Linked DNA regions of Caenorhabditis elegans. The protein of the gene in region 2 purifies or fractionates together with the protein of the main gene of each other region. This does not show direct contact. Each region holds a gene or a part of one and is shown on either strand. Other genes may lie near its edges. The genes, in order: F07A11.5, gmap-1 and zyg-9.

Region 1 (3,755 bases), on a different chromosome or scaffold from region 2:
TGCACAACATTTTTAACTAAAAATAACTAGAAAGGCAACTAATTTCTTTCGTTTCAAAAAATATATTGTGGTGGGACCCAAGCTCGGACAAAATTTATTTTTTAGTATTACCGTAGTATCAACTGCATCGACTTTGATCACGGCGGTATGCTCAACATCATCGACTCCTTTGGATGCAAGCAGGACACCTACAATTCAAAAAAAAATTTATTGTTTCAAATTATCCCAGTGTAAGTCCCCCAACCTTTGCCTCCGAGAGTTATGATCGCATGTTGAGGTCCCATTTTGAGCATTGCACGTGCTGCTTTTTCAGCGTCTTTCACGTTGTTTTGAGCGATTCCAGTGATGAATTCCGCCTGGAAAGTTGAAATTTAATTTATTTTTTGTTCAGAACAATATTTGGAAAAGTTCAATTGATTAGAAAAAATAACATAGACCTACTTCATTCTCATTGGTACAAATAATATCAACCAGCTCGAGAATCGTCTTATCCATATTCGGATCCCCAGGAGCTGGATTTAAAAAAGTGGTGACTCCGTGACTTCTAGCAATTTCGAAGGCTCTTCTATTTCCTTTTTCGTCAATTTCTCCCTGACAAATGACCATTTTCGAGCCAGCAATTTTTGAAGAGTTCGCATCAGCGATTTCAGGCGACATTTCAAGATTTGCACCCAGCGTCACCACAATGTTGTTTTCGCCTGGAAATTTTGGAATTTGGATTTGAAATAATGTAAGTCTCATGTAAATCTGAAAATCAAGAAAATTTAATTTTTCGAATTTACCATATTTTAATAGTTTTACACCTCAATTGCACTGTAACAAATCGAACTTTTCATGTCTGTAGATGCTATTTGAAATATTTTTTCTACATATGTCAAATTCCAATTTTCTACTAGATGCATCACATTTTGAGCTCACTTTTTGAGTCTAAAAATTTGTAATTCTCCTTACCCTCTCTCCCCCACTTCTTACTATTAGTTCCAGTTCAAAGTTATTTGTTTGTCGTCGTCACTGAAGGTTCTTCGAAATAATAAGTTATTTATATTACGTCACCAAAAAAATGGGGGAAAAAGAAAGAGAAAATAGATTCTATGAACGTAGACAAATCGTTTTCAGAACAAAATTAGAATTTCAGTGATCTACGAGCTATAAGAACAGATATAGCTATAGGAACTTATTCTTAACCCGGTTGGCAATTTTTTCTTAGAGGTAGGGTCTTGCTACAAATATTGAATGTTTCTTCAAGACATTCAAGAGGCCACACATAATCTTAAATATTTTTTTCCCGCCAAAACTCGGATACAAACCTTCTTTGTTAACAGTGATAGTCGCTGTGGCGGTATGTGTCTTTTTGGTCCGTCCCACACAACTTGTATCAACTCCATTGCTGCTCAAATCCTTAATATTAGAATCTCCGAACATATCTTCTCCAACCATTCCAATCATTGAGACATTGATCCCTAGGCGAGCCGCAGCAACTGCCTGATTGGCGCCTTTTCCGCCGGAGCCCAGCTTGAAATTGTGACCGCGCACCGACTCTCCAGGTCTTGGGAAACTATCTGTGTAGCTGGAAATTGGTAGTTTATAATGTAAAATTGTTTAATGAAAGATAAAATTTAAAAAAAACAGACCTGACAAGATCCTGAACGATACTTCCGAAAACCACGATTTTCTGGTTTTCACTTGACATAACGATATGCTTTTTTTTTAATTTAGAAAATTCTGAAATAAAAAAATAAAAATGCGATTGATAGCACGTGTCAAATAATCAAAGAAACACAAAAAAGAGAAGAGAGAAAGAGAATCAGGTGGTTAGCTTGTTGAGGGCAAAAACTGTTTGCCAACAAATTTGGCAGCTGGTCAGTTATGGTAAGAGAATAAGACACACGTAGTATTATTTTCCAGAAATTTTTTAGGTGGCTAAAAATGCCTGCCTGCCTCATGCCTACACTCTACTGAAAGGAAACATGTTAGTCCTCTTGAAAGCGAAGCAAATAATTTGTAGGCAGGCACGTAGGCCCGTTCGCATGAAGAACCTACAATGATGACAGACCCTATAATTCCTAGAAAAAGCTTTCAAAAACCAAAAGCAAATTTTAAAAAAAGCAAAAAAATTTTTTTTGAAGGTTCCCAAACAGATAATGTTCCCATTTTAAACCATTCAGGTCAGATAAAATTGTGATCAAAAATTAATTGTTTTGGTTATTTTTTTGATCTTTAAAAATTTTCACTGACAGTGATTTTATGTGAAAAAAAAACAAAACAATGGCGTCATATATCACGGGCCAAAATTCAGAAATCAGGCGATAGGCAGGCACGTAGGCCTGCAAAATGGCACGTGAATGGCCTCAAAATGCATTGAACTAAAAACAGATAATATTTGGAACTCGTATCTTATCTTTTCCCCTTCTTATCAATTTTCATCGGCTTATCTTGATTTCTTTTTTCTTTTTTTCCTTTGCAGTCAAGGACAGAATTTTAATTTTGAAATTAATTTATTCTCTTCGGGGAACAAAAAAAAAACTGAAACCGGTCTCCGTGGATTCAAACAATTGTTATTTTAATAATCAATAAAATTAGGAAAATTAATGAAAAATATATAAATATTAAATCAAAGATGTAATATCTAAAAACATGGTAACAGGTTTTGAAAGAAATGAAGACAATGAACAACACGTGGAAAAAAAAATTGATGAATTTATGAAAATCTAGAAAAATGACTAAATTTTGACTTCTTCTGGAGCTCCAGGATCACACGAGTAGTGGCGTCTGAAATAAAAAATTGTTCATTGATCGGAATAGGTTACTTTGATAAAAACCCAGCGCGGTGATCATTAAAAATTAAATCATTAAAAAAAAAAAAAAACTCATCAGTTTGAAAATGAACAACTAGTTCCAAAATAAAAAATATTATGGAAAAACTTTCAAAACCTTTTTTGAAATTTTTATTCCAGTGAAAAAGTTCTGAACATTCAGTTTTCAAGCATTACCTTGTAAGTCGGTCAAAATATGTTATCCTGGTTTTTTTTTACTAATTTCGTACTAATTGTTTTTTTCAAATTCTAGGAGCTCGAACCTGCAGGATATCTTAAATAACCACAGAAATTCACAATTTTTTGGCGATTTATGAAATCTTTGCCTAAAAGTTTTGAAAAAACAAGCAAATCACGGTTTCTTATTATTGAAATCCAAAATTTTTATTTAATTTTTTAAAGAAAAATTTAAGAAAAAAATTTTCAATTTGCGTGACCTCGGTCGTGGAACTTATTATTTAGATTTGGAATATATAAATTGTCCAAATCTGAAGCTGAATCAATCAGTTCTCACTTTTATCCAATGCTTACAAATTCAATTATCAATTTGCTTATTACAATAGTGCTTTCTAATCAACTATCATACTATCAATACCGTGCTGGAAACTATCTCAATTATTTGAACGTCTTCGTCTCAAAAAAAGCCGTTCTCAGGATTTATCGATTTTCTTGAATTTCAGGAAATTCTTTCCCAGATTTATAGTTCTTGGGGTTTCCAACTCACTTGAATATACTCCTCGTCACATTCTGATCTCTCATTTTATAGAAGAGTAAGTAAGCATCCTCCGTTTGTAAAGTGCTCGTAGACTGCCGAGCCACCGTCGAATCATCGAAATTCCTCCATTCGATTTTCGTTTTCGACGAATCAAAATCGGCGAGTCGACCCATACTAATATAATGACCGAAGTAACTGTTTCCACTATGGCATACTACTCCCGTTAG
Region 2 (3,755 bases):
ACCATGATCCGATTCCTCCACACCCATTAGCATCAGCATTTACGCATCGTTCTGGCTTTCCGTGGATTCCGATTCTTGTCTCAAGATGCACATAGTATTTCTTGGAGCCATTTAGTCCTGGGGCATAAACCTAAATTGATGAAATGTTTATTCTGGTTTGCAACGAGCTGATCACTAACCTCAACTTTGCCACCGGACATTCTGAAGCATTTGTGTCCATTCTCTCCAATTTCTTCGTGGAATTGAACTCCGGCGGTTTTGTATGATGGGAACTTGATGAGCAAAGAATCTTTCTTTGGACCTGAAAAATTGAAAATTGAATTCAATAATTAAAAAATAATAATGTTTAGGAGAGCCTTCATAATTTATTGAATTTTTTTTAAAGAGATACATACAGTCTTTTGAATTTTCCGAAATTGTACTAGTTACGTGACCTTTCGCATTTGTGTGATTTATTATCAACTTATAAAATCGAACACAGTGCTAGATTTGTCAGTTTTTTTGCAAAATCCCCATCCTTTTCCGACCTGGGATTTGGCGAAGCGTTCCACAAAACAGGAAATAATGGAAATAGAGATAAAATAAAATCGGGACGTCAGTTTTTCTTTCTGATAGCCTACCCCCTCTACTCTGTTATCGATATCATTGACGATACAACAGTATGGCGTCTCCAAGGCCACGCACTTCCTAGCCGTCGGCTGCAGTTCGATCAATTTTTTTTTCTATATCCCTAATCAAACAACTGATTGGGTCGCCGGGTAGAGCAATGTCTCGAGAAGCTTTGGATAGGTGGACAATTGAATTAAAAACACGTTTTTTTTGTTCGCAGAAAAAATGACGTGAGTAGACAGTCAATGGACTATTGAACTAATTTCAAGTGTCTAATTTTATTGGTCAATTGGGAAAAAAACTGGATTTTATGAAAAATTGAAGTGTTCACCTTTGTTGATTATGTTGTATTGAAACAGGGAACTAAAACATAGAGTTTGAATGGCTAAACAAAAAGTATACAAGTTGATTTCGACGTGAAAATTTTTGACCCTCAAAATAGTTAAACTTGTAGCTTGAAATCAAACTTTATCCCAAACAACATATCAGATTTCCGTTGATGCATTTTCACTATTTGTTTTTGTTTGTTTAAACCGTACGCTTAATAGCTAATGGTATAATATTAATTGCTAATGGCATAAATGAACACGGTTTTTTGGGGCGCTTGTGATTTGCAAAGCCTACAGTAATAAAAATGATCCTATTTAATAAATACCAATGAATGTTTTCTATTTAGTATTTCAAAGTTCAGATATTCAAACATTCAAAAATTCGGGGACACTAAAAAGTGTTTCGTATCATAATTTTGGAGTTGGATTTTAAACTTGATAGTGGTTCCTTGACCATTTCACTATAAATTAAGCAACATCAAAAAATAAAAAAAACTGAAACAAACCTGAACTAGCTGAGCATGGGAAGTGTCTTTCGATGCGGACAGAGATCTCCGAGGAGGCGGCTGAGACGCACGCGGCAACGGCACACAACAGTACGATTCTTCGGGTCGTCATTAACGCAAGTCGTGTTTCTCGACACACTGGCCACTGGAGGAGAAGACGTCGAAGTCGTCGACGTGATAGGATAGAATACAGTGGGCGGAGTGAGTTTTGTTTCGCGAAAGGCGGCTGCCCATACACCTACCTAGGCACGCGACCCCCACCTCTCAGAGAAAACGAAACAAGAGTAAGGTGAGGAGAGTAAGACGACGGCGACCCCCTGAAATAGAAAAAAGAGTGATCTGACACCATTGTCACTTATGTCGTCACAACAGAGATAGTTGACCTTTTGAAACTTGGGGTTTCTTGAACTTTAGTGAAAAATGTAGGAAGTGTCATTTTGAATGGAGTTAATCTTTTGGCATTTTCTAAGAAACTGCTTGTATAGTGAAGTGTATAGAAGTGCTCTTGTTCGACAATTAATGTATTATCCAGTCGTTTTTCTCTTATTCCCTTTACTGTGCATATGAAACTAAAAGTGTCTCAATTTTCTGATTGTATCCAATTTGATATACGATAGACATAAAAGAAAACTATAGTGTTCTTGTGTTACCACTTAACACAACCGTCCAATTTATCGTTTTTGTGAGTTCCTACCCGAATTCGAAATGTATTTCAAACATAAATAAAAAATATTAAAGTGATACTTGTAATGTTGAAATGCCTACTCTTCTTTCTTAAAAGCAGTACATTGGATTATTGCTTTATTAGTCTCAAAATTGTCTGAAAACACCGAATTTCATAATGAAACTTGTTAAAAACTTCTCAAAAAAAAACCTAATGACGGCTCAAAAAATGACCTAAAATTGTTAAAATTTGAAATTTGATCTACTAGTCAATGTCGCAGCGGGTGGAAACAATTTTTCTTTTTCTATATATTGACTGTTTAGCAAGTTTGGTGTTTTATGTTTTGTGTTGCTTTGATCGACTACGAAAATTGAGAAAACCAAGAAATGAACCAGAAACCTCAAAAACAACTGCTGGCCCTCTTTTTATCAGTGACATCATCTCTACGCTCATCTATCAATATGAGTAATTATGATCATTATGTTTATATCTTGATGTAGCCGTTAGATAATTGAGTCTTTAGCTAAGTCTATCGCATCAATTAATAATGACGTTGACTTTGAAAATATAGGTTTGGGTTAGTTTACGTTTGTATTTGGGTTTACACTATTTGTGATTTATGGGTCAAATTTTGAAGTCGCTCAAAGAAGTAGGTAGATCATAAGCTTTACACTGTTATGGTTTTTTTGTGTAAAGCTGTACAAGTAAATGAGGCAGAAGCCAAACGAGGGAACAGAACAATGAGAGGAGAAGTTCGAGAAAGCTGGTATCAATTCGCCTCCTTTTTTTGGCGATTCTTTGTATTGCAACGATCTACGTCATTCTACTCCACTCATCGCTTTTTTCCTTTTTTTCGGCGTCTCGCATTTTCTTCAAAAGCATCAAATTGAAGATGGCTAACCACACGAGAACAAAGAAAATGGCCACAACAGAAAGGAATGCCGTACTTTCAATACTACTGTTTCATTGTGAATACTGAATGCGAAATTTGAAATTGCTTTTTCTCAACTGCTATTTCAGGTTTTCAGAACATCTGACCTACCATTAAAACATTAATACTATTCAACTCTTGTTCAATTCAAGTGAAGTAAAAAGTGAAAATATCAAAACTGGTTGTTTTTTCAAAGTCTGAAGTACTTGAAAATTAAATATCTAGAGGGTAGATAAGTACAGAAAAAATAGTAGAATATTGACTGAATCAAAATTCTTGGCCACCAATTGCTCATAATTTCAGCTTGATTTTTTTTTAAAATTTGTGTCCAATATTAGTGGCAGAAAACTGAAAAAAAACCTTGGATTTGCTTTTTAAAACTTAGTGGCACAAATCACAATAGATCGAACGTCGCTGTGTTTTATCTTGAAAGGTGTATTTCAGATGATGAAAAAGTAATTTTGACATTTTTGAAAGAGCGAATATTCATATTTCAAGTTCGGACGGATTTACTGTATTTAAAAAATACGTCATCAAACTTTCGATTTGCCGAAAAGTTTAGTCAGAGATTTGGTATTATGACTGTTTGAGCATTTGCAATCATGATTTTTTTTTGCCAATTTTAGTATAATTTTAATATTTTCAAACATTATTCCCCTGCCAGGAAACTCTTCCTTTAACGAGTAATTTCATGCTGGGAAACAGGTAAACATATA
Region 3 (3,755 bases), on a different chromosome or scaffold from region 2:
GAAGAGGTATTGGGTTAGGAGTCGGTGGAGGATAATGTCAAGGTACTGTAGTGGTATTGTAAGGTTACTGTCTTGGTCAAAAAATAACAGAAAGTTTTCATACTGTCTGTGAATTTTTGAAACATGCATGTCGTAGAAAAATACATACATGTAACAGTGCCAGTAAACCGCGTTTTAAGTGTTTCAAGTTTTTTTCATGATGAGAAATTTTTTGAGTGATTGAAGGTATGTGTGTCAAATACTTTTAATGGTGCCAGGCGTTGCCCGCGCCGTAGGCGCGGTCAGCGGCTGGTTAATAATAATAAAATAACTCACATCTGCTTTGTGAATCGATTTGACCATTTCAGCAATCTCTGCGGGCCCAGCTTCATCCAACGCCTTCTGATGAAACTCCTTGATTTTGCTCATTTTCAGATTATCCGATGCAATATCGGCGAGAAGTTGCAGAGAAGGTTTTTCTCCAATGGCTCTCATCATTGCTCCCATTGCAGCGTATGATGCTTCACGAACTTCCGAATCCGAATCACCAGAATGTTTTATCAACGACGGGATCAGCGTCTTCAAAGTCTTCTTCGGCATGGTCTGTGAATTCAGTTTCATGAAGCATCGTTGAAGGAAAAGATCCGTTTGAGTCTTAATGCTTGGATTTGGTTTTCCGAGCGCTGCGAGTACGATTTCTCCAACTGCTTCGAGATTTGTGGTTGCAACAACTGCATCAATGCAAGCAACCAGCGGATCACGTAGAGTTGGTTTCTTCTCTTTGAACTTCTCAAAAATGATTGGAGTCACAGACACAGCAAACGGCTGGAACTTCGTACGGAGACCATTAGCAATACCAGTTATACAATTGGCCGCTAGTGCAGCCACATTGATATTTGCATCTTTCTCGAGGACCTTAATATTTGAATTTAAAATAATTTTTCAGGACAAAATACACATACCTTCTGCAATCTCTCAACGAGTGCGCCATAGTTTGCCTTTGGGTCGAGCTTCGGATTCGCTGTGATCAATTGAAGCAAACCTTCAAGCGCTTCTTTTCGTTCCTGCCATTTCTTGCTTTCGATGTTGGTATCAAAACCGTCGGGCATTTTGGAAAGTACGTCGAAAGCGTCAAGAAAATCCCAAGGATCGGCTTCCGCAACTGGAGCTCCAGATGAAACAACAGCAGTTGCTGTTCCGCCGGATGGATCTCCCGAAGCAGCACTTGCCGAAGGTGTCGAAGAAGTGGGAGCGACTGGTGGAGCATTTTTAGCTTGTTCTTCTGCGAAGCTAGCGGTTGATTTTTCAGCATATTCCCCAATCTTTTTCATTTTCCCTTCATCGGAAGAAGCATCGCCGAGGAGATTTTTAACGTTTTTGTCTCCAATGATGCGCTGAACAGCTCCTAAACCTTGAAGAGATGCCTCTCTGACATCTTGATCTGCATCGCCAGTCAATTTTCCAAACACAGGCACAACAGCTTTGATGAATCCTTTTGGTTGTTTTGCTGGAACCACCAAATCTAACTGCCGAGCCACAAAAAGTGCAGTCTGTTGCTTGATCTGAGGATTTGGTTTGGCCAGCGCCGCCAAAATGTCTTCCTGACCAGTTTCCAAAGATTGCATTGTACGGCCGACTTCATTGGAACAGTCTACAAGAGGTTCTCGGAGCATCGGCTTCTTTTCTTTCATTTTTTCGAAAATGACGGGAAGAAGTGGTCCTGCGAAAGAAGAGAATTTTGCACGTAATCCCGTTGCGAATTTTCCGATGCATTTGGCTGCAAGCGCTTGGCAATTGATGTTTGCATCTTTTGCTAGAACCTGTAAAATGAGATTGCAGAAATGACCGAAAAATATGAAAACCAACCATCTGCAGATGACCAATAAGTTCGGCATATGAAGCTTTTGTTGAAAGTCGCTCATTGTCCGTGAGTACTTTGAGAAGTGCTTCCAATGCCTCTTTTCGTTCCTGCCATTTTTTGGATTCTCGCAGCTCATCGAAGTTCGGTGGAAGTTTGGGAAGGATATCCACCTCGTCCAGATAATCCCAATTGGACATTATCTGAAAAATGACAGTTTACTACGTGCCTTGCAATAAACAAAGAAAGCGAACGAAAATAAGTTTTGAAGAGAAAGGAGATTTCAACAATAGATTTCCGGTGGAGAACGTAGAGGGAAAAAATCAATATTTTCGAACTGCGAGGGGTAATTGGGGTCACATGGAACTTTTTCGCCGCAAGCCCATTTTCGACCGATTTCGCAACCCGTCAAAAAGAAGCGCAAACAGAGAAACAGAGGCGGACGGGCCGGCTCAGTTGCACTACGCGGCAAAAAAAAAGAAAGGACAAAAAATCAATGAATTCTTTATACAACTTTTTGTTCGAGCCAAGTGAATACTAAAACACTACGCAGATAATAAATTTGATTAATTAGATAATGGAAGTGCTTCACAAAGAAACAAAATCTCAAAAAAAGGACGAAACATCTCGAACAAACGCTTAACACTGTGCGACAAACACTGAAAAGCTTAACTTGCGACGACAAATTATTTAAACAATTTAATGATGAGCTCACATGGGAACAACTGATATTCATTGAAAAAGTGCGAAAGCGAGAAGGTTTCCGTTGCGCTTTTCAAAACTATTTTCTACCGCGCGTTCGAATAAAAATGTCGTCAAGTGGCATGCTTGATACGCAACGCGCGCGTAAAACGACGGGGCTGTCAACTGCGTACTGAACAAGAAAGGAAACATTTTCTAAAAAGCTCTGTTAAATAGCGAAATTTGGTCTTAAAAATAATTAAAGCGCAACGAAGAAATGTTTATTTCAAAAATACGAATGCAAAATGAACAAGAAGTGTTTTGGAAGGGAGAATTCGCGCGCTTAAGCCATCGATCAAGGTCAATTTCAGATATGGAGACCGGGAGATGAAAATTTTTGATTTGTAACAAGACAAAAATGAGCCTACGCCTAAAAAACGCGTTTGAAACGCGAGAAAAACAGGAAATTTGGCGCCAAAAATGCTGTGCGGTCTCGACACGACAAATTTTTGATAAATGAAAAAGGTGCGCGTCTTTAAAGAGTACTGTTGTTGCAAACTTTGGTTACTGCAGATTTTCTATCGATTTCTCAAATACCGTATATTTCCTATTAGCGCTGCATCTTCAATAGTACTACAGTCTCTAATAATGTGTGTTTTTGTATATTTTTGATGGTTTCTTGTTAATTTACAAACATCATATTTATTTTCTGATAATACTGCAGTCTCTAATAGTGCTCGAAAGTTAGTGTTGTATGCAGCACGCGTAAAAAAAAGGGCCCGAAAGTTAGTGTTGCATGCAGCACGCGTTTATTAAACCTTTTTTTTTTGAATAAAAAAATCTAAATTTTAACAATTCGTGAGAAGAAGCATGAAAAACCCCTATGGTACTTTTGCTTATGTTAATTCGTGTTGTCTCTCGACGTGGATCTCACAAAAAAAACGTCCATCGTACTTCTTGGAGGCTCTTATCCTACCAACGGTTCCTGAAAGCTGGTGGCTTCTGGCGCAATATCATATAATTCACGGTGAACTCGAAGATAATATTTTGACTCTAAATAAAAATTTTCACATATTTTGTCTCATCGAAAATTCGTCTATAACACAATAACATACATATAAACATACGGTATAAAAGAAAACAATGTATCATGAAACAGTGTCAGTTGAGTCAGCGAAAAAGTCGTTCTTCTGACGATGTCGAAGAACATTCCATTTTTTGTACAAGTACGTTTTTC

What was found.
Region 1: the proteins of gmap-1 (region 2) and F07A11.5 fractionate together in Caenorhabditis elegans (co-fractionation; one large-scale study listed by BioGRID). This does not show direct contact.
Region 3: the proteins of gmap-1 (region 2) and zyg-9 fractionate together in Caenorhabditis elegans (co-fractionation; one large-scale study listed by BioGRID). This does not show direct contact.

The regions. Positions count from the first base shown.
Region 1 is NC_003280.10:11,610,272-11,614,026, reverse strand, and holds the start of F07A11.5 (Ribokinase), read right to left. Parts: upstream 1,728-3,755; 5' UTR 1,691-1,727; coding exon 1,632-1,690; intron 1,568-1,631; coding exon 1,308-1,567; intron 699-1,307; coding exon 442-698; intron 357-441; coding exon 245-356; intron 189-244; coding exon 112-188; intron 1-111. Other genes in the region: F07A11.4 (ubiquitinyl hydrolase 1), read right to left, coding at 2,721-2,769, 3,538-3,755.
Region 2 is NC_003284.9:12,933,340-12,937,094, forward strand, and holds the start of gmap-1 (GM2 Activator Protein family member), read right to left. Parts: upstream 1,640-3,755; 5' UTR 1,557-1,639; coding exon 1,445-1,556; intron 302-1,444; coding exon 180-301; intron 131-179; coding exon 3-130; intron 1-2.
Region 3 is NC_003280.10:8,456,103-8,459,857, reverse strand, and holds the start of zyg-9 (Zygote defective protein 9), read right to left. Parts: upstream 2,041-3,755; 5' UTR 2,038-2,040; coding exon 1,846-2,037; intron 1,800-1,845; coding exon 942-1,799; intron 895-941; coding exon 316-894; intron 1-315. Other genes in the region: F22B5.6 (Serpentine Receptor, class J), read left to right, coding at 3,715-3,744. UniProt on the Caenorhabditis elegans protein: Plays a major role in organizing microtubules and spindle poles during mitosis and meiosis in one-cell stage embryos. Required for default nucleus positioning in oocytes.